Kluyveromyces lactis: one gene and its partners. The protein of the gene in region 1 purifies or fractionates together with the protein of each later gene. This does not show direct contact. Links are inferred from orthologs where the notes say so. Each region holds a gene or a part of one and is shown in the gene's direction. Other genes may lie near its edges. The genes, in order: SEC21, GLO3, COP1 and SEC28.

Region 1 (6,033 bases):
ATCCCTTGCCCTCGCTCTAATACCGGACTCCCAGTTTCACACATATAAATAGAGGAAAACAAAGTTTAAGATGCGATGCCTTTTCCCATACCATTGGCGGTTGTTTTTGGGATAATTTTAATTGTTCTGTCTGACATATTTTAAAACAGCAAGAAACAACAACTAAGTAACACATACAGTTAACAATGTCTGACAAGATCGAAGAACAAAGAGAAGCTATCCAAGATAAGGTTGAAGAAGTTCAACAAAATGCTGAGGAAACTGCTCAAGAAGCTCAACAACAAGCTGAAGAGACTCAAGAACAAGCTCAAGCTAAGGCTGAGGAAACTCAAGAACAAGCTCAAGCCAAAGCTGAAGATGTCAAGAAGGAATCTCAATCTTTTTCCAAGAAATGGTTGGGTAAGTTGAAGAAGTTGTTTAACTAAAGTTAAAATAAAAACAAAAAAAGCTTCCGCTTTTTTTATTTTATTTTTAATCAACTATTAAAGTAATTCTAACATTCCAAATTATAATCTTAACCCCATTCTCCTCTATTATTATTCCTACTATCACCAACTTAATATACATCTTTATATATTGTCTAATACTTAATAATTAATATGCTTCTTCTTTTATTCAGTGTTTCGTCATATTGAACAATGTCTGGGCGTGTTTTGTTTTGTGTTTAAACTTTCGTTGTCTTATTACCCGGATTTCATAACAACCTCAGTTTCCACAACTTAGCACATCTTTTCAACTTAAAAGTGTTGATAATTCGCATCTCTGTATATATATGGTATGTAGAATAGGCAATATTCAGCATTGTCTCAGGGAAGGACACATCATCCAGCTTGTGCATCAGGTAGAACACCCGCAATTATCATCTGCCATGTTTCAACAGCAACCCCAGGCTCAAGCGGCTCAAGCTCAGGGGAATGTGTTCTCGGAACAAACCCGCAGGAAATATTTCCCACAATTGAAACCTTACTTCCCAAATAACCAAGGCCAGGGTCAAGGCCAGCCTCAAGGGCAGGCTCAGGGTCAAAATCAAACCCAGGGCCAACAGCAACAACAGCAACCCCAAAATATGCCTCCTGGTTTGCAACAAGGAATGCCCCACCCAGTAGTAGAAAACAACCAACTTCCAGGTCAGATGCCTGGGATGGGCCAAGGGCCAACTGCAGGACCAAGTTCAGTTCCTGGGCCAGGTCCCACACCAGCAGGAATAACACATGCGCTAGATGATCCAAATGTCTACCATTGGATATGCCAGCTCACTTACGGGCCAAGCAAAGAACAAGCGCTTCTAGAACTAGGTAAGAAACGTGAACAGTATGAGGATTTGGCTATCGTGCTGTGGTCCAGTTTCGGTGTGATGACGTCGTTGCTAAAGGAAATAATTTCAATTTATCCGCTTCTTTCACCTCCTGCATTATCAAACCAGTTATCAAACCGCGTATGCAACGCTTTGGTGCTCTTACAATGTGTCGCATCACACCCAGATATCAGGCCTCAATTCTTACAGGCTCACATCCCGTTGTTCCTTTTCCCATTCTTATCTACGACATCAAACCAAAGAACTTTTGAATATTTAAGGCTAACTTCACTAGGTGTCATCGGTGCTCTAGTGAAAAACGATTCTGCAGAAGTGATCAGTTTCCTTCTAAGGACAGATATTATCCCATTATGTTTAAGAATCATGGAAAACTCTTCAGAACTTTCGAAGATCGTCGCTATCTTCATCTTACAGAAAATATTATTAGACGATAACGGACTCCAGTTCGTATGCGCGACCCCAGAACGGTTCTACGCGGTGTCACAAGTTTTGGCAACTATGTTTAAGCACATGTCCCAACAACAGGTGCCGGGAAGATTATTGAAACATGTTGTAAGATGCTACCTAAGATTATCGGATAATTTAGAAGCCAGAAGATTGTTGAAACAAGTTTTGCCGCAACAACTAAGAGATAACACCTTCAATGAAGCACTACAGGACGATGTAGGTACCAAGAGATGTCTTGCACAACTACTCCTGACTCTAGATGAACAGCAGCAGTGATCTTGCCTGCTATATCATATATATCTCCATATCCATATATATATATATATATACATATATATCATAATTAAAAAACAAGTGTTACCCTCACTTTCACACACCCGCTTCACTTTTTTTTTCATTCCAAAGGACTTCTACCGATTTGCAAACTGAAAACATTATGAATATAAATATATACCATACCACACGGCAAAAAGAATTGGATAAAACACGAGGTTAATAGGCTCAAAATTGGCTACTAAAGGTTAGTACGTCATTTGAAGGTATCCTAGCACTGCCAATTGCATGTCTGCACAAACTTATAAGAAGTCTGAGGACCCACACAGTGGGTCCTTGCCAGACAAAATGGCGATCTATCAGGATTGTTTGAATCGGTTCAATGAATCTCCTGTGAATCCTAAACTGTGCCGTACCCTGATCACAAGCTTGTTGGAACTATTGTCGCATGGTGAGACTTTCCCTAGACAAGAAGCTACTGCTTTATTCTTTTCCATTTCGAAATTGTTCCAACACCCTAACGATTCTTTGAGACAAATCGTTTACGTGGCTATTAAGGAATTGTGTGGAATCTCCGATGATATCTTGATGGCTACTTCTTCAATTATGAAAGATGTTCAAAATGGTTCAGATCTAGTGAAGCCTAATGCTATTAGAGCATTGATCCGTGTCTTGGATGAGTCCACTGCATTTTCTGCAGAAAGATTATTGAAAAATTCGTTGGTTAGCAAACATCCATCTATTTGTTCTGCTTCTTTGGTCAGTTCATACCATTTATTACCAATCGCTGAAACTACGGTGAAGAGATTTGCTAATGAGACTCAGGAAGCCGTTGGTGATTTGAAACAGTTGCCATATCCAGATGAGAACAGTAGATATTATCCAACTACGTCTCATATCTCTCAATACCATGCATTGGGTTTGTTGTACCAATTGAAGAATCACGATAAGATGGCTTTGATCAAATTGATCCAACAGTTTGCCGGTCATTCTTCACCATTGAAAAATCAATTGGCTCAAGTACAAATGGTTAAATTCGTGCACCAATTGGTTTTGAAGGATCCTAACTCCATCCCCCAGTTCTTACCACTAATAGCTAATTGGTTGCAAAGCAGACACGAGGCTGTTGCTTTGGAAGCTTGTAAGCTTACTGCGTCTCTATCCAACTTGGTTCCTAACGATTTGTTTGCAGCAGCGGTTTCTGTCTTGCAAGGATTCTTGTCCACTCCTCGTGTGACAACCAGATTTGCTGCAGTGCGTTTGTTGAACAAGATTTCTATGGTTTCACCAGAGAAAATTGTGGTATGTAATCCACAATTGGAATCTCTTGTTAACGATAGCAACAGAAACATTTCCACTTACACAATCACTACCTTGTTGAAGACTGGTACCGACAAGAACATTGGTTCTTTGATTAAGACAATTACCAAGTTCATCCACGAGGTGAATGACGATTTCAAGATCATCATTATTGATGCTATTAGAACTCTTTCTCTAAATTTCCCTGAGGAATGTGATACAATATTACATTTCTTGATGGAATCCTTACAATCTGCCGAAGGCAGTCTTCAATTCAAAAATAGTGTCGTGGAAGCATTAATTGATTTAATTCAATTCGTCCCACAATCTAAGGAAAAAGCTTTAGAAGAATTATGTGATTTCATCGAAGATTGTGAATATAATGAAATATTGGTTAGAATCTTACATCTATTGGGTAAGGAGGGTCCAACCACTAAGAACCCGTCATTATACGTGAGACACATTTACAATAGAGTTATTCTAGAGAATTCTATCATCAGATCTGCTGCTGTGTTGTCTCTTTCCAAATTTGCACTTGTTAAGAATGACCCTGAGTTAGTAGAAAGTATTGAACAGCTATTGACTCAAATCAAGACTGATTCAGATGATGAAGTTAGAGATAGAGCATCCATTGCTTTGCAATTCATCGATTCGGTTAAGTCCAAGAAAGATGTTTCCAATATCGCACAAAATTTCATTCGCCCAACTTCTACCTATGACGTTGTTGCTCTTGAATCAAAACTATCACACTATTTGTCACAAGGCCAAGAGGCATTCAAGACTCCATTTGACGTCTCGTCAGTTGCCAAATACTCCGAAGACGAGAAGAAGGCATTGGATTTGAAACGCAGACAAGAGCAAGCCTTCAACCATACAGAAGAATCTTCCAACAGTGGTGCCGGAAATGGTAACGGTACTGAAAAGGGTGGTAGAAAGGGTGATAGATTGGATGACAATAGCTTCAATGGACCTTCATTGGAATCTGAAGAAGAAGATTTGCTATTGTCCAAATACGTGGATGAAATGTCCTCCTTGGAACAATTCCAGTCCTTTGGCAAGTGTATCCATTCTTCCAAGATTGTCCCATTAACGGAAATTGAAGCTGAATTCGTTGTGAAGGGTATCAAGCATTTGTTTGACGAGCACGTTGTATTACAATTCCATATCACTAACACATTGAAGGACGTTGCGCTTGATAACGTTGAAGTGGTATGCCAACAAGAAGGATTATCAGAGGGTTTACTTGACGAACAAGAGGAATTTGTTTTGCCTATTGAAAGACTCTTACCCAATGAAGGAGAGTCATGTTACGTATCGTTCAAGAAACTAACACAGAACAAGGATGATATCATTGTAGAAAGATTCAGCAACTCGTTGAAATTCCAATCCAAGGAATTAGACCCATCTACCTCTTTGCCATTCGAAGATGACGAAGGGTTCCAAGATGAATACGAATTTGATTCATTGTTCTTGAGTCCCGGTGACTACATGAAACCATCATTCGTAAGCAATTTTGCCACCTCTTTGGAAGAACTACCTTATGAATCCGTCTCTGTCTACAACATTGTCGAAACTAACACACTACAAGAAGTCATCGACAAGTTAGTCATTAGCGCTGGTGGTTTACCTTTGGAAAACTCACAAATAGTATCCCACGATGCCACCCAACATACTCTAAAACTTTCAGGAAAATGTATCTTAGACAACACTAAAGCCCTGCTTTCCATCAAGATGATCAAGACAAGTAAGGGTATTGCAATTAAGGCTCTAGTGAAATCCGACAAGGAATCGTTGGCAGAAGACTTATCAAACAACTTGATATAATATATGTACATTTGAAAACAAAAAAAAAACCTATATATATATATATCTATCTAAGATAGCAACATAAGTATTTCTCAGCCGTAAATATAACGAAGTTCTCAGTCTGATAATCGTATTTCAGCCGCTCGTTGTTCACCCCTTATCCTTTAGACCTTATCTGAGACTTCGAGATGAGAAAGTCACAATTTTAAAGGTTTGTTGGAATTCGAAACATTTTGTTTACATCACGCATGGGAAACAACAAAAAGGAAAGGGAAAGAAAGATAAAGCAAGAGCAACAGTTCAGCCTTTACAAGTTATATACCTGCTCATAGACCAATTCAAGATCTTTAAGATATCTACAAGGACTCACTAAGGCCTCTCGTTATTATATCAAGTCCTGAAACCTTCATAAACAAAAAAAAGAAAAGCTAAAGCAAACTCCCCTTATCTCTAAAACACCCTGATTGAACCACCAAGATGCGTTTTTCTGTTGTAACCAGTTACTTATTATGCGCTGCTGCATCGTACGCTAATGCAGCTTCTTTATTCGGATTAAGTTTCCCAGAACCACCATCAGCGAACAAACCGATCCCTGGTGACTCTCCTTTATTGCAATGTGATGTTGACCAATCTCAATCGCTTGATGTTACTCAAGTAAACTTGGTCCCCAACCCACCACAAAGAGGTGAGAATTTGACTATAGCTGCTGCAGGTGTCCTACAAACCACTATCGAAGAAGGTGCATACATCGACATCGAAGTTAGATTAGGTTACATCAAGTTAATCTCACAAACCTACGATTTGTGTGAACAATTGGAGGAGAACGACATCGACGGATTGAAATGTCCAATCGAGGAAGGTGTCTACGAGTTGAACAAGATCGTGGAGATCCC
Region 2 (5,246 bases), about 560 kb from region 1:
ATAATATTCTGCTTCAAGACCTCTTCACGTAAATCGGTTAATGGCCTTTGTACAAGTTTTTCTAAGACAAATTCAGGAAAAACAAAACAACTTTATAATGCAAAAACTATATGAGGATAAACCCTCTCAAAACTATTATAGGTTTTTGGTTGTTATGAACCTTTTTTATATGGGAGGAAGATCATGGAAAAATATTTGACGTAAAAGTATTAACAGCCATGACAACACGATCTTTGAGAAAAGTATATACTTCAGAGCCTACTTATATATACTGTCTTTCAATTCAGGTTCTCCGTGAAGCCGTGTAAATAACATAGCTAACGTTGACGGAAGTAATCCAGTTTTCATTTTGCAGTGGTGTTAAGCGCTACCGGCTACTAACAGGGACTAATAATAGTCTCCAACGCAAAAATGAATCAAAAAAAATTCAATCACTATTTGCTTGCAGTAGCGAGACGATCCAAGCAAAAGCCAGAGATGAAAGGAGCCGGACTATACTACTGCCTTTGCTTGAATGAATAGAGTCAGCCTAAGTGAATATTAAGGTTGTTTTTTAAGCAGACTCCCAGTTTCATAAAAGGAAATCACGGCAAAATACACGAACCGCATAGGAAAAAAAAAAGAAAATGAAACTAAATTACGTATTAGAAACACCTAATCAGGTGGGAAATAATCCAGCGCACCAGCGATCTTCTTCGAGAGCTAAGGAGGAATTATGGCTGGTTATGAGAAGATGAGGCTGCAATAGCCCAGCCCACGCGAATGGGCTGAAACGCAACCGTCGATTATGTCGAAGGCTGGAGCAACGGAGATACTATTGCTATGATTCCATAGTAGTTCGAGCATTCAAGATCAGATGAGTTTCGAGTCTTCATGAACAAAGAGCAAACTAAATATGCGGACTTGTAAACTTACAGTAAGAAAGCCGCAGTAGATTTTGCCAGTGGTCCTCGATGATATATATCATTTTTCCATGGCTGGAATAATTGGAACCAAAAGGAAAATACCCTTGCCTCAAATTTCCCCGCAGCATATATTTTTGTTTATTTCCAGTAGCAATTTATTTTCAAAGCACTCCCAGCCAGTTTTGTATGTAACTTGTATACTTGTAGCAAAAAATAATATGTTCCGAAGAAAAAACGAGAAAAAAAAAAAAAAAAGATGGAAAAAAAAGATGATCAAGAAATTAGAAAACATTGTTCAGAACTAGAGGTATCTCTAGTACTGTTGGGATGAATTTTTGGCGGAAAACTCGAATTCGAATGTAGTGAGGATACGGATCAGATACTGGATATGGATTTGGGCTAGGCAATTGCAATTTTCATTCACGCCGCTTTTCAAACAATTCATGTGGGGGGAGGACAATATTATTTTCCCCACAGGAAAAGTGGAAAACCGGAAAAGAAATGCGGGATGACGAATTAATGGATATTTACCCGGTGTACTGGGAATGATAGATCACGTGGTTAGAAACACTCTGGTGCGTGTTGTTTTTTTTGTCCACCTCACCTCTCTCTACTCCGCTCCACCTAGGTCTAAAAACAATAATTATCAAAGTCTGGAATGGTTTAGGGTAGGGTAGGGTAGGAACTATCCGAAAGGTTTAAATGGTTAGCATCAAGCATTGCTCCAGAAGTAACTGATTATACCTGGCGTGTTTGAGAGAATATCCCGAAGCAAGTTTTCCAAGTTTGAGAGTTTTGTTTTCAGTGGTCGAATTATGAGCGGGAAGATTTCCAGGTACGTTATTTTACCCTTAACGGGGTTCACATTGGGCTTCGGATATTTCGTTAAGCCATGGCATTTGGATGAATCAGCACTACAAACGTTACATAGACCGCTACAGGACCAACGGACCGATGTATTGGATAAACTTAGGGCCACAGAATGGGTCAAGAAACTTAAAGAGTCGTCTGATTATATGATGCATCGTCAATCGGAGAAGATCCCTGTACCTCATAGAGATTATCACGTAGGTCAAGGGTTGCTTTACGGACCAACTAAGCTTGAAATTGATCCGGTGGTGTTTACAGATAATGCACAGAACAAGATCCACGTCATATATCATTTGGGCCACAATTTAGGCAACGAAAAGAATGCAGTGCATAAAGGTGTACTTTCATTGCTATTAGACGAGGCTTTGTGTTTCTGCGGGTTCCCTACACTTCCCAGTAAGCGTGGAGTCACTGCATCTCTAGACATATCGTTCCAGAAGGATGTTCCAGTTAATTCCACCATTGTGCTCAACGCCCAGGTCATTGAAACCAAGGGAAGAAAATGTATCATTACAGGAACGTTGGAATCACCACCTCTTGATCCTTCTACGAAACTGGGATCCGTAAAGTCCTTAGTGGCTAAGAGCGTACCCAATTGGATATACAACCCTAAACCGACCGTCTACGCTACTGCAACGTGTATTTTGGTGGAACCTAAATGGTTTAAATACGTTTCATGGATTAACATATTCTGATCTAATACCACCTTAAGGTCTCCGTTATATATGCCAATAATATTATATTTAGTTCACATACTACAACATTCAATATTAAGTATACCATATGCTAGCATTGTACTGGTGCTCGGACATGATGAATACCAGTTAATTCATCATCCCATTCCCACTATTGTATTGTTTGGTCCGGGTAATAATAATACAGACTATTCATATCTGCTATTTTCTTTGACATCTTTAAATTGAAAGATCGAATTTCTAAACAGAAAAGGTTTTAACACAGGACAGAACGGTTATTCAAATTTTGGACCGTTAAGGAACGTAGTTTTTGGTCTTAGTTAAGTTTTTTACACTGCTGGTAACATCATAACAGGTGCAACAGACTACTGTACACACTTTGAGCGCGGGAGGGACACGCCGAACTTACAGAAGTATTTTTCGCAAGTTATTATTAAGGTGGTAAGAAAGCGTGTTATTAAGTACTCTGTTTTCTAAAATTGATACTTAAGAGTTTTTTCTTGCGATTGATCTAGCTTTTGAGATACGATCTGAATTTACCAGGATAATCTGCTACAGGAACGTGAATCTTTATTGCCGTATCTTAGCATCAACTTATTAACTTAACACAAGGGTGTTTTTTTTTCCGGAATTTCAGCATTTCATTATCATTACAAGAGGATTTATTTTAATTAAACCATGGCTAGCATTGACGAATCGGGAGAAGTGTACTGTGACAAGGAAGTCGTGACTAAAGTGTTTGCTAGACTGACAACCAAGTCTGAAAACAGGGCATGCTTCGACTGTGGCGCCAAAAATCCTACCTGGACTTCAGTTCCGTTCGGTGTTCTTCTTTGCATCGATTGTTCCGGTGAGCACAGAAATATGGGTACCCATATTACTTTTGTGAAGTCAAGTAATTTGGACAAATGGACTGTCAACAATTTGAGAAGGTTCAAACTTGGTGGTAACGATAAGGCAAAGGATTTTTTCTTAAAGAACAACGGCAAACAATATTTGGGTTCTTCTAGCAACCGGATGGCTAAATATACAAGCCAGGTAGCCAAGAAATGGCAGAGCCATTTGAATCAAAAAGTGGCTAGAGACGCTGAACAACATCCAGGTGAAATTGTATTTTCAGCAGAAGATGAACAAGAATTCACAGGGGGCAGTTCTGGTTCTTCAAAGAGCAACAGCGTTGATGATTTCTTCTCAAACTGGGAAAAGCCTGTAAACCAAAGTAACATATCTTTGACGTCATCTCCTAGAAATTTAACACCAACCAATACTGGCAATAGGAATGGTTCTTCTATTCTGTCCGGAAGTGGTTCTGCCAACAAAACCAGCAACGGTGCTAGATCCACTACAACTAAGAGAACTACTTTGACAGGATCAGCAGGCTCTTCTCAAGCAAAGAAACATTCCATCCTTTCCTCCTCTCGTAAGTCAAAGAAACCGGTTGCAGCCAAGAAGGTGGATGCTGATTTGTTTGATCAATTCGAAAAAGAAGCCAAGGAAGAGGAAGAATTGGCCTCAAGTCTCGCCACCACTTCCCTTAACTCCAATAATTTATCGAATTCCATATACGATGCCACTCCTGCGCCATTCCAACAAAAATCTGGTTTCAGCTCTAGCAGCAAAATAACCAAGCCATCTACCAATGTCGAAGACGCGGAGGACGACGAATGGTCCAACAGATACAATGATGGTATTACTTTCGATCAAATCAATGCTTCCAATGTAGGATTAACTGGAAGCAAAGATGCGGCAAAACCAAAGTTGGCTAAACTTGGGTTTGGTATGACTTCCAATAATGCAGAAAAGGAACAAAACAAAACTAACGAATCAAGGAGGGCTGCCTCTGGTCCAAAGTACACAGGTAAGATTGCCCAAAAATTCGGAGAACAAAAGGGTATCTCTTCAGACCAGGTGTTTTCTCGTGGAAGCTACGATGACGAGGCAAGTAAAGAAGCTCAAGAAAAACTCAGACAGAACTTCAGTAATGCCACATCTATTTCTTCAGCCTCATACTTTGGCGAAGGCCAGAGCGAAGATCAGTTCGACGAATTTGGAAGACCATTGAATCCACAAAATGGAACAAGAACAAACAGAAGCGGTTCTCTTGGCGGACGAAACTTCATGGAGTTCACGTCTGGTGCTGATGACGAATTTGACCTGTTGAAGAACGCTGTTGAACAAGGAGCGCAAAAGCTAGGAAACTACCTAAGAGATTACATGAGAAATTAATTCCTATGTTAGTTTATTGTAAGATAAAGTATAGTCATTCATCAAGGAGTTAACGTTAATAGTATCAGTGCCATAAGTTCCCCATAAGTTCCCTTCTATGAAAAAAAATCTGAACAAAACTTTATGGCTTTATTGTAATAGAAACAAATAAACAAATAGATGAAAGCTTGTCCTTAATAGGATACCCTTTTCAGTCACACATCTCTTCGTTGTACCATAATATGAATACCGCCATTATTTGGATAATAATAAATATAGGATCATTCCAAACACCCAGTGTGTAGTCAGAGTTTGAGATTTTTCAACACACCTACATTTTCCAAGGAATACCAAGTGTCTATTGTGCTTTACGTATTATTTAATGATTATTTAGTAGCTTGAGTAGCGAAATAAGGATTATGCAATCCAGTGATCATGACAATTATTGATTAAGTAGCATTTAGAAAGTTGATTTAAAGAATGATATGTTCTTGAAAGACAAGAAGATTAAGGTCGATTCGAAGTAAGATATTAACGCGTAGTCATGGGCCATAAACAAATCTTGTCATGT
Region 3 (5,777 bases), on another chromosome or scaffold:
TGAAGAAATCACATCTTGTGCTAAATGAATGATCTTAATCTAATGTTTTGTGTCACTCAATTTTCTACTTTCTTCGCAACAGATTGTCGCACGTCAAATTATGAGAAATCAAGCCAACCTATAAAAGCAGAAGGAGAAGGATCTAAAAATCACGACTATCATGTTCAAGAATTTACATCCGTGATCAATGACACTATCATTGGCAGCTTGTCTTGATCTACTACACCTCAAATTGTATCTGTATTCATAAACAAAAAAAACGCAGAAATTGGTTACTAGCATCGCAATGCTTTCTACTATTTTGTTATGGATTTCCTGTTGCACAATTTCAACTTTAGCACAAGAAGCTACTAGGTATTTCCCAGAAACTCCAATAGGCTGCTCTCTTGAAAATAATTGTCCTGCAGAATGGCCATGTTGCTCACAATTTGGACAATGCGGTACGGGTCCTTTTTGTGTTGGAGGTTGTAACCCAAGATTATCTCACGATCCAGGTAGTTGCTTAGGACAACCAGCATTATTACCACGAATGTCGCCTAGCTTCTGGTTGCAAAGCTCACTGGAGCAAAAACCTGCTCTAAAAAGTAGCTTTCTGCCTAGAGTACAACCCAGTATGGACGTTGCATCGAATGAAGGTGGAGAAAAGGACTTGAATAATAGAGGTATAGTTAATTTCGCTAACTTCCTAATATCACCACAAGAACGAATCATTAAGAAAATGTTAAGAGACTATCATTTCACGTACAGTGGATTTGTTAAATACGATGCACCTGGTCAATTGACTCTTGCTATGCCTAAACATACTTCGGGAAGTTTAATATCATCCACAAGATCTTTTCTATACGGTAGAGCTACCGTAAAAATGAAAACAGCTAGAGGTCGCGGAGTTGTTACTGCAGTGGTATTAATTTCAACTGTAGGTGATGAAATTGATTTTGAATTTATTGGAGGAGAATTACATCATGCTCAATCTAATTATTATCACCAAGGTGAATTAAATCACACAAGGATGGAAAAGCTAGAACTAAGTTCTGACAGTTTTGAAAATACTCATATTTACGAAGTCGATTGGGACCAAGATAGAATCAACTGGATTGTGGACGGTGTAGTAGCTAGAACATTATACAAGGAAGATACATGGAATGAGGAAAAACAAAGATACGAATATCCACAAACACCAATGAGATTGCAAGTGTCGGTGTGGCCAGGTGGAAGAGAAGATGCTGACCCTGGTACCATAATGTGGGCTGGAGGGCTCATTGATTGGGAAAACTCGCCCGATATACTTGAGAAGGGTCAATTTTATGCAACTGTGGAATCAATAGCCGTTACACCTTACGAAAACAAATTCTGGCCATCAATAGTTGATGAACTAGAAAGATTACATTTACCTATTGATGCTAATTCATTGTTAGATATTACTTACGATTACAATTATGACAAGTTTAATGAGCATACGTGGTTTGAAGATTCAGTCATTTGGAAGAAGGGCAAATTACCTTATTTATCTTCCTTGGACAAGAATGGCCTAAATCCGGGAAGACAGCAACAAAGTCTTTTGGTAGGTAAACAATTGAAGCAAGAGCAGGGAGATGGGCCGGATCAGAGTCCTTCAAACAGGTTTATTCAAGACACTAATAAACCATCGGAAAAAAATCATGAAGAACAAGATTTGCTCCTACGAAACGCTCTGCAGTCACGCGATGCTACCACAAATGGGGGTTCCAGTCACAATAACAGAAATCCTATCAAAAGATTGCTTAATATGCTACATTAATCAGTAAAGGTTGCCCAGATGTTCACATCTACACTATACATGTATAGATATATAGACCTATGTATACCACTCTCGTATATGCTATCTCTTCTAGCATTCTCTTACGCATAGAATCTGTAGAGATGCGTCTGGCACAAATTCGGGTAATTATTACCCTACCATTACGTCCTTTGCATACTCTTCGGATTCTTCCAATTTTCAAAAAGGACAACTTTTCAAATAAAACACGATCTTATTTCAAAATAGTAAGCCATATGTGTATTTTAAGTAATTTTATGAACCTTGAATGAAGCTGACTTTGGCTAATAAACAACGATCAAGGTACTTTGTCGTCTAATTGAGTTGTCAGTGAGGACTAACCATCGAAGGAAAGCTTCAATCGTAACCAATTGGTATATTGTTAACTGCAATTGTGACGTTTTCTTCCGAGTTATTCTTCTTATATTTCTCACAGTTTTTACTCAGATTTAGATCGAAGTCTTGAAAAGCTTGCTTTCATCATGAAGATGTTAACTAAGTTCGAATCAAAGTCTACCAGGGCGAAAGGTATTGCTTTTCATCCGTCTAGGCCTTGGGTTCTGGTAGCACTTTTCTCATCAACCATCCAATTATGGGATTACCGTATGGGTGTTTTGCTTCACCGTTTTGAAGATCATGAGGGTCCGGTACGTGGCATTGATTTCCATCCAACGCAACCTCTTTTCGTTTCTGCAGGTGATGATTATACTATCAAAGTATGGTCTTTAGAGAGCAACAAGTGTCTATTCACATTGGACGGCCATTTAGACTATGTTCGTACAGTATTCTTCCATCACGAATTGCCATGGATTATTTCCAGTTCCGACGATCAAACCATCAGAATCTGGAACTGGCAGAACAGAAAGGAAATAGCATGTTTAACTGGCCATAACCACTTCGTAATGTGTGCCCAATTCCATCCAGTCGAAGATTTGGTGGTTTCTGCTTCTTTGGATGAAACCGTTAGAGTTTGGGATATTTCAGGGCTAAGAAAAAGACATTCCGCACCAGGCACTCAATCATTCGAAGAACAAATGAGACAGCAACAGAACTTACTTGACGGAGGATTTGGAGATTGTGTGGTGAAGTTCATTTTAGAAGGCCACACTAGAGGAGTAAATTGGGCTTCTTTCCATCCAACTTTACCATTGATCGTTTCCGGTTCTGATGATCGTCAAGTGAAATTGTGGAGAATGAGTGCCACAAAGGCATGGGAGGTCGATACTTGTAGAGGTCATACCAACAACGTTGATTCCGTCATTTTCCATCCTCAACAGAATCTCATTATATCAGTTGGTGAGGATAAAACCGTAAGAGTATGGGACTTGGACAAGCGTACTCCAATTAAACAGTTCAAAAGAGAAAATGACAGATTCTGGTTAGTGAGAGCTCACCCAAACCTAAATCTGTTCGGTGCTGCTCATGATTCTGGTATTATGATCTTTAAGTTGGACCGTGAAAGACCACCAACTGCTATAAACCAAAATCAGTTGTTCTTTATCAACAGGGAGAAACAAGTCCAAATGTTTGATTACCACAAGAGAATCACTTCTCTACCTTATCTTTCTTTGAAAAACATCGGCAAGACCTGGAGTTCATTTAGAAGTATGTCTTATAACCCATCCCAACATTCCGTCCTTGTCAACTCCTCCGAAAAGGAAGCCAACAGGTTCAGCTTATGTGTCTTACCTAAACAACCTAGTGGAGCTGTTGAAGCTAGCAACGTCATCTCTGATGATGGTAGTTTTGCGATCTTCGTTGCTCGTAACAGATTTGTGGTGCACAATGGCAGCACTAATAGCTTGGAGGTTCGTAGTTTAGATAACAAAACCACAAAGTCAATCAAATTAACTGATACTGTTAAAGACATCACATTAGCTGCTCCTGGTACTGTTTTGATTCTATATTCTCATTCTGTGGTAATGATGGACGTCCAACAAGGTAAAATTCTTCATGAATTATCTTTAAAGAACATCAAGTATACAGTGTGGTCTCAAGATGGCCAATATGTTGCATTGATGAGTAAGCATACATTGACAATCGCAAACAGAAAACTGGAAATCGTTACATCAAACCATGAAAGTATTAGAATCAAGAGTGCAAGTTGGGATGAAACCGGTGTCCTAATTTATTCAACATTGAACCATATCAAATACTGTCTATTGAATGGTGATTCTGGTATCATTAAAACCTTAGAAAGAACATTATACATCAACAAGGTACATGGCAAATTTGTCTATGCTTTGAATCGTGAAGGGGAAGTAGAGATTTTGACAATTGATCCTACTGAATATCGTTTCAAGAAGACTTTAGTCAACAAAAATTTCCCTGAGGTATTGCGTATCATTAAAAATTCAAATTTAGTTGGTCAAAACATCATATCTTATCTTCAAAAATCAGGCTATCCTGAAATTGCGTTACAATTCGTGGAGGATCCTCAAACAAGATTTGATTTGGCTACACAATACGGTAATTTGACAGTTGCTCTTGAAGAAGCTGAGAAATTGAACAATGAACTTGTATGGGAAAGATTGGGCAAAGAAGCTTTGATCCAAGGTAACACAGATATCGCTGAATTGGTATATCAAAACACTAAGCAGTTTGATAAACTGTCTTTCCTATATCTACTTAAGGGAGACAACTCCAAACTGGCAAAAATGGAGTCTATTGCTGAACATAGATCAGATATTTCCGGCTTGATTCAAAATACCTTTTACAATAACTCAGTTCAGAAGCGTGCAAATGTCTTTTTAAATGCAGGCTCTGCTCCTTTGGCTTATGCAGTGGCAAAAGCTAACGGCGACGATGACCTTGCCACTTCCATTTTGGAATCCGAAGAAATTGATGAGCAAGACATTTCCCTACCAACTGAACTCAACTCCTCCACAAATGTAAAAACCCCTGTCATTTCTGCTCCTTTGAAAAACTGGCCGTTAAAGCAAGCTGAAGTCTCATTCTTTGAAAAAGCCCTTTTGGGCCAAATCGAAGATCTTGAAATTTCTGATGATAAGGAAGAAAATGTTTCAGATACTACCCAAAATGTTGGCCAGTTTGATTTAGGAGAACAAGATAACCTAGACTTTGATGATGAAGCTGTTGGAGAGGAAGAAGATGCTTGGGACCTAGACCAAAATGATTTGGAATTAGACGACGAGTTAGAGATCGAAGAATCCGAAGTGACTGAAGAACAAGTAGATGAATCAGAATTGCCAATGTGGGTTAAAAATTCAAAGCTTCCAGCAGTTCTAGTAGCCGCTGGAGCCTTTGATGCTGCTGCCCAAGCCTTGAATAAGCAGGTAGCCGTTGTAAACTTCGAACCCCTCAGGACACCATTCATTGATATATACGATGGTGCAAGAACTTATATGAGTGCTACACCAAATGAATTACCTTCAATTATTGGATACATCCGAGCTGATGCCGATGAGGAGGACAAATCTAAAATACTACCATTTGTTCCTGGCGTTTCTGTAGTCACCACGAAGTTGAACGAGGGATTCAAAGCATTTAAGGCTAACAAATTGGAAGTTGCTATCGAGCACTTCCGAGACGTTATCTATGCCATAGCTTTGTTAGCAGTTACTGACAAAGAAGATGAAACAACAGCACAAACTGCACTTGCAACTGCTCGTGAATACATCTTAGGTCTTTCTATGGAGCTAGAACGTCGTGCTCTACCTGCCAATGACGTTAAGCGTAACCTGGAATTGGCAGCATACTTCAGCAGGACAAAACTTCTACCTGTGCATAGAAGTAATGCTTTGAATGTTGCTATGACCCAATCATTCAAAAACAAGAACTTTGTATTAGCATCCTATTTCGCAGGCGAATTCCTCAAGATTATTACATCAGGTGCCCGTGCTGACCAAGCTCAGAAAATCAAAGCAAAGGCTGATTCGATGGCATATGATGCCATCGAGATTGATTTCGATCCTTATGCTGAATTTGATATCTGTGCAGCTTCACATACCCCAATTTACAA
Region 4 (4,769 bases), on another chromosome or scaffold:
GACATTTGCAGGATAATGATATAACCACGGAACTTGTTGAAAAGAACAAACATGGCTAGCTCGTGAAACACAGAACTTAATAAAAATGTGAATAAGGTGGCTTGAACTTTACTCATGTGATACGCACTAATCGAACTGTGATATACATGTCTCAATAAAAAGCTATGCACCGGACGATTCCACAATCTGCTAAAATCATACCAGGAGCAACAGTTCCACCAATCAGAGTAGAAATGGTGGTCTGCAAAACAGGACAATTCGGCCACACAGTTTAAAATTGCATCCCAAATCAAATACCAGACCAACAAAAACATCATAATAAAACCTGGTGCCAAGTCCAACAAGAGCTTCGGCCATACCAGGTTCTTTTCCCATAATGTGAGGTTGGCATCTGCCAAAATTTTAGCTTTCAAAATAACAGGCAGCATGAATTGTTGTGCAACAACCATCATGACAAAGATGATACCAAAGATCGCGCAACATTTCTCAAAAACGTAAAACCATCTTATACGTTTTGTGCGTGGGTATTCTATCTGATATACAAGCGTTGGGAACGAAGAAAACTCGAAAAAGTTCTTCACTGAGACATTAAATGGGAACCTGACCGTTGATGATTGAGATCTTATCTCAAACTCACAAAAATCTATTGACTTTTGCAATATATCAAGTTCTGGTTGTGGAGAACTGAGTTTTTTCAGTTTCTTTAGGGTAGATGTTGCATAATCCAACTCTGATGAAATATCCCACAAATAACCATTATAGAAGGAATAAGAATGTATCTTCATCAAATAGACCAATGAATGTAAAAATAAAAATATTTGGGCGATCCAGTTGAAATGGAAGGTCTTTTTTGGTAAGTAGATATTGGAGAATAGAAATACCACCTCATAAACTGAAATAATATCTCTCCCTGTACGTCTCCAACTGATGACATTTTTTCTGCACAAATATTGTATGACGAATGCAAAATAACTAGTCAGGTACATTGCGATATCATATAACGCAACTTTCCAAAGATTCATGGTCATGTATCGCAAGATAATTGACTGTGAAAAATCACCATGTTCCTCGTAATATTGTAATGTCACTTTGCAGATGGTGAACGCAACTGCCATCCAAAATAAGACATAGAATCCAGAAAAGTCTGTTGCTATAGTTTCATTTGCAATTTCAATAGTATTATTGTCATCTATCCTCACCGTATTTGATCTGGCTGTTGCCTTTACTCTAGAATATTTCTCGTCTATTGCTGGCCCATTGAAATGAGATCTAAGCGGATTGTTGACCATCTCATCCATGATACTACCTCTAGAGCCCCAGTCTACATCTCGTGTCATGGACTGCATTTCATTCGTATCCTTCTTATATCTGTTCTTTTCCTTCACCTTCAATTTCTGCATGAAAACATGCAGATGTTTGTCGCCTTGTTCGGAGGTGGTTCTAGTCTTAAAGATAACCGTGTCGTTAGGCTGGACCGTGTTGAAAAGAACGTCCGGAGATCCAAGTTCATCGAGAACAGCATCCTCCAACTGTTCCTCATGCAAAGACTTCCTCTTCCCATGGTTGTTGTCGTTCAGCCTTCTTATCCTCAAGAACTGCTCATCCTCAGTTATATCCTTAACGGTGGTATCATGTGAACTGTCACTTGAACCGGACATTATGACAGGTTTTTAATTAAAGATCCAGTTAAATAAATCTTTTATGATATATTAACGTGGATTGACTCTTCACCATGAAATTAGTCTGAGATAAATCTAGGCCAAGTCGTGATTCGTCTTAAGAAGGAAAAAATTCTTGCTAACCTCTCTCTCTCACTCAGACGTTTTAAATATAAATCTCAAATCCGGAATTAACCAATGGTCGTAAGAAGTGTACTGTTAATTACTGAATCTGTTTCCTTTTCCAACCCGTATCGTTTAAACGTCCAAAGTAACTGGCTCTGAATTTCTTCTGATAAATACTCTCAATCCCTTAAATAAACGCCATATGGTGATCCACACCTTCGAGAATTATTCGAGAAAGGAAAAATACAAAAAAAAAGATCACGTGAATGAAAAACATCCATTACCCTGATCCTGTCAGTTTTTCAGTTTTGGACAATTCGCATGGTGGATCAAAGTAAGATAGCATATGGACTCTCAATATTAAAGGATACGTGTGAGATAGACCCGTTAATGAGCCAGTAAAGTCGCTTTCAATACACGATAACGGTTAATTGAAGTTTTCCGACGTCAGATTTGTTGAGAAAAAAATATCAACTCAGAAGAAATGGACTATTTTACTGTAAAACAGCAGTTTTATACTGGTAACTATGAAGAAGCGTTGAACGAAGTTTCTAAGTTTAACAAAACTGAAGATGAGGCGTTGACTTACTACAGAAATAGATCATTGATTGCATTGTCCCAGTTCAGTGAGGGTAGTGCTGATTCTGGCTCACTTGGGCCTGTATTTGAGGCTTACTATAAATTTTTAAGCAAACCTACAGGCTCAATCACTGCACTAGAACAAACCGTTGAAAAGGCGGGCAGATCTCCATTTGCATTGAACTTATTAGCAAGTGCATTGACTATAAAGGGCGAGTTTAAAACTGCTTTGGAGGTTGCCGTTGAAGGAATTGACTCCGATGAAACAAGAGGAACCCCGGAACTACTGTTAACGGCCATCCAAATAACTTTGTTGGATAATCAACCAACCATTGCCTCGACTATGTTTGAAAATTTCCAAGCACTTCAGGAGCAATCGAACGACGATGAAATAATTTTGAATCTTGCAGAGTCATACATCAACTTCAACCAGGGTAAAGAGATCACTGGATCCAATTTCTATTTCTTTGAAGAGTTGTCTCAAACTTTCCCAAGTTGGAAGACTCAATTAGGCCTATTGAATTTACACCTCCAACAATCGCATTTGCCTGAATCCAAAGCAATCATCGACCTCTTAGAAAGCGAGTTCTACGATATCAAACAAGAAGCACAAACGTACAAGCCTGATCTACTTGCAAATAAGATTACGTACACCATCTTATCTGGTGGAAATGCAAACGAATTGAGATCGGAATTGCAACAATTGAAACCATCTCACCCACTATGTGTTGCCGACCTTGAAAATAACAAGACTTTCGATCAAATTGTGGCAAAGTACACAGCCTAAATCTATATATATCAAATAGATCTTGAGTAGCAAATAGTATTGGTATTGGCGATACTTTCCGGGTAACATTGTTCTTTTTCCCATCAATTTCGTGGGAACTGTCAAGATAAAGCGGATTGATCAAACATCCTATACAATGTGAAGGGTTAGTTTTGAAACCAGTCACTCGGTATCGTTTTACAAGGCACCTGCGTTGTATTTAGTTCGAATATTCAGGGGAGTTGATCTTCTTATTTTGATTGTCGATCTAATTCTACTTTAGTTTCCCCCGAATTGAGCTGTAATTCACACAGAATTTGGAGTTTACAAGATGGCTACTGAATTGTCTGATGCTGAGAAACGTAAATTGTTGAGGGAAAGAAGGCAACAGAAGTTTTCCAACGGAGGTGCTTCCAGCAGGTTGAACAAGATCACTGGTCAACAGCAGAATAGCTTTTTGTCTTCAACATCTGTTCTTGATGAGCCAAAAGTTACTCCGTCAGGTAACAAGAAATCATCCAATGTGAGTGACGAAGAAGTTGAAAAGTCTACCAAAGAGATTCAAGATTTACTTTCTAGTATTCCCGGTAACAAGGACAATTCTGAAACTGATGCCGCTGAAACGAATCCTGAGGTTGCCCTTTTCCAACAGTTGCTTAAGATGCAACAACAAGGTGGAGGATTCCAAAATGGATCACCAGATGCCAGTACACCGGACCTTTTCAGTTCTTTGCTAAACAACGATACGAATACTACTGCTTCTGCTACACAGATGCTCCCTAATTTTGTTGATGAGAAAGTCTTGAAGTATTACAAGTTCAAAGTGTCCAAATTGAAATCCTACATCATTTTAATAAAATGGGCTCTTCTTGCACCATACGTCTACTTTATCATGCATCCCAATCCCACTGTTCTTCAAGCTTCCAACTTGTTATCCCAAATAGTGGAAAGATCGAACTTCTTCTCCATCTTTACCGGACTAGAAATAGTATTCATCTCTATCTACTATCAAATGTTGAAGAAACTTCAAAGAGATAACAATGTTACGGCCACCCAAAACGCAGGAGGCATTTTGAAGTATCTGACAATGATACCAGAAGGCATTTTACCTATTAGGAACATTCAAGGAAAGATCGGTCTTGCATTAGAGTATTTTGACGTAGCGTCAATGTACGTGACAGATATATGCTTTGTTCTTGTGTTATTCGGTGTCATGAAATATTATCATTCGTCATTCCCTATTTCAGTTCCAATAGAACCACCGATTGCAGGGATTCAATAGAAAAGTATCTTTTGGTTGTGAAAATGGAAACTCGTTCATTAACGATCAAAACTATATAATTCTAATTATCAATTGTTTATTCCCTTAAACATGAATATGTGTTGTACTTCCACTTAAAAGAACGCTTTAGTATGTTTTCATTTCATTCATAGAACTATTTAAAGCCTACTTATATCATACACAAAAGAGCAAAGCACTACACCAAGACGAAATGCTTATTTTGGTGGTTGGTAAAGGGCACACAACTTGTTACCATCGACGTCACGAACGTAAGACAAGAACAAGCCCGATGGACGGTAACCAGGTGCATCCTCGATAGAAGTACCGCCGTTAGCAACTGCAACATCGTGGAACTTTG

Evidence for each region.
Region 2: the proteins of SEC21 (region 1) and GLO3 purify together in Saccharomyces cerevisiae (affinity purification with mass spectrometry; 5 studies listed by BioGRID, with this or other methods). This does not show direct contact. The link is inferred for Kluyveromyces lactis from reciprocal best matches to the Saccharomyces cerevisiae genes SEC21 and GLO3.
Region 3: the proteins of SEC21 (region 1) and COP1 purify together in Saccharomyces cerevisiae (affinity purification with mass spectrometry; 8 studies listed by BioGRID). This does not show direct contact. The link is inferred for Kluyveromyces lactis from reciprocal best matches to the Saccharomyces cerevisiae genes SEC21 and COP1.
Region 4: the proteins of SEC21 (region 1) and SEC28 purify together in Saccharomyces cerevisiae (affinity purification with mass spectrometry; 5 studies listed by BioGRID). This does not show direct contact. The link is inferred for Kluyveromyces lactis from reciprocal best matches to the Saccharomyces cerevisiae genes SEC21 and SEC28.

The regions. Positions count from the first base shown.
Region 1 is NC_006041.1:1,172,184-1,178,216, forward strand, and holds SEC21 (coatomer subunit gamma), read left to right. Parts: upstream 1-2,323; coding exon 2,324-5,158; downstream 5,159-6,033. Other genes in the region: CCR4-NOT core subunit CAF40, read left to right, coding at 773-2,038; NPC2 (sterol transporter), read left to right, coding at 5,618-6,033. UniProt on the Saccharomyces cerevisiae protein: The coatomer is a cytosolic protein complex that binds to dilysine motifs and reversibly associates with Golgi non-clathrin-coated vesicles, which further mediate biosynthetic protein transport from the ER, via the Golgi up to the trans Golgi network.
Region 2 is NC_006041.1:614,983-620,228, forward strand, and holds GLO3 (ADP-ribosylation factor GTPase-activating protein), read left to right. Parts: upstream 1-3,148; coding exon 3,149-4,696; downstream 4,697-5,246. Other genes in the region: MRX3 (Mrx3p), read left to right, coding at 1,721-2,470. UniProt on the Saccharomyces cerevisiae protein: GTPase-activating protein for the ADP ribosylation factor (ARF) family. Involved in retrograde vesicular transport from the Golgi to the endoplasmic reticulum.
Region 3 is NC_006042.1:478,183-483,959, reverse strand, and holds the start of COP1 (coatomer subunit alpha), read left to right. Parts: upstream 1-2,277; coding exon 2,278-5,777. Other genes in the region: CRR1 (putative glycosylase), read left to right, coding at 287-1,777. UniProt on the Saccharomyces cerevisiae protein: The coatomer is a cytosolic protein complex that binds to dilysine motifs and reversibly associates with Golgi non-clathrin-coated vesicles, which further mediate biosynthetic protein transport from the ER, via the Golgi up to the trans Golgi network.
Region 4 is NC_006039.1:797,552-802,320, forward strand, and holds SEC28 (coatomer subunit epsilon), read left to right. Parts: upstream 1-2,268; coding exon 2,269-3,150; downstream 3,151-4,769. Other genes in the region: ARE2 (sterol acyltransferase), read right to left, coding at 1-1,658; GET complex subunit GET2, read left to right, coding at 3,461-4,411; KLLA0_C09218g (VOC family protein), read right to left, coding at 4,627-4,769. UniProt on the Saccharomyces cerevisiae protein: The coatomer is a cytosolic protein complex that binds to dilysine motifs and reversibly associates with Golgi non-clathrin-coated vesicles, which further mediate biosynthetic protein transport from the ER, via the Golgi up to the trans Golgi network.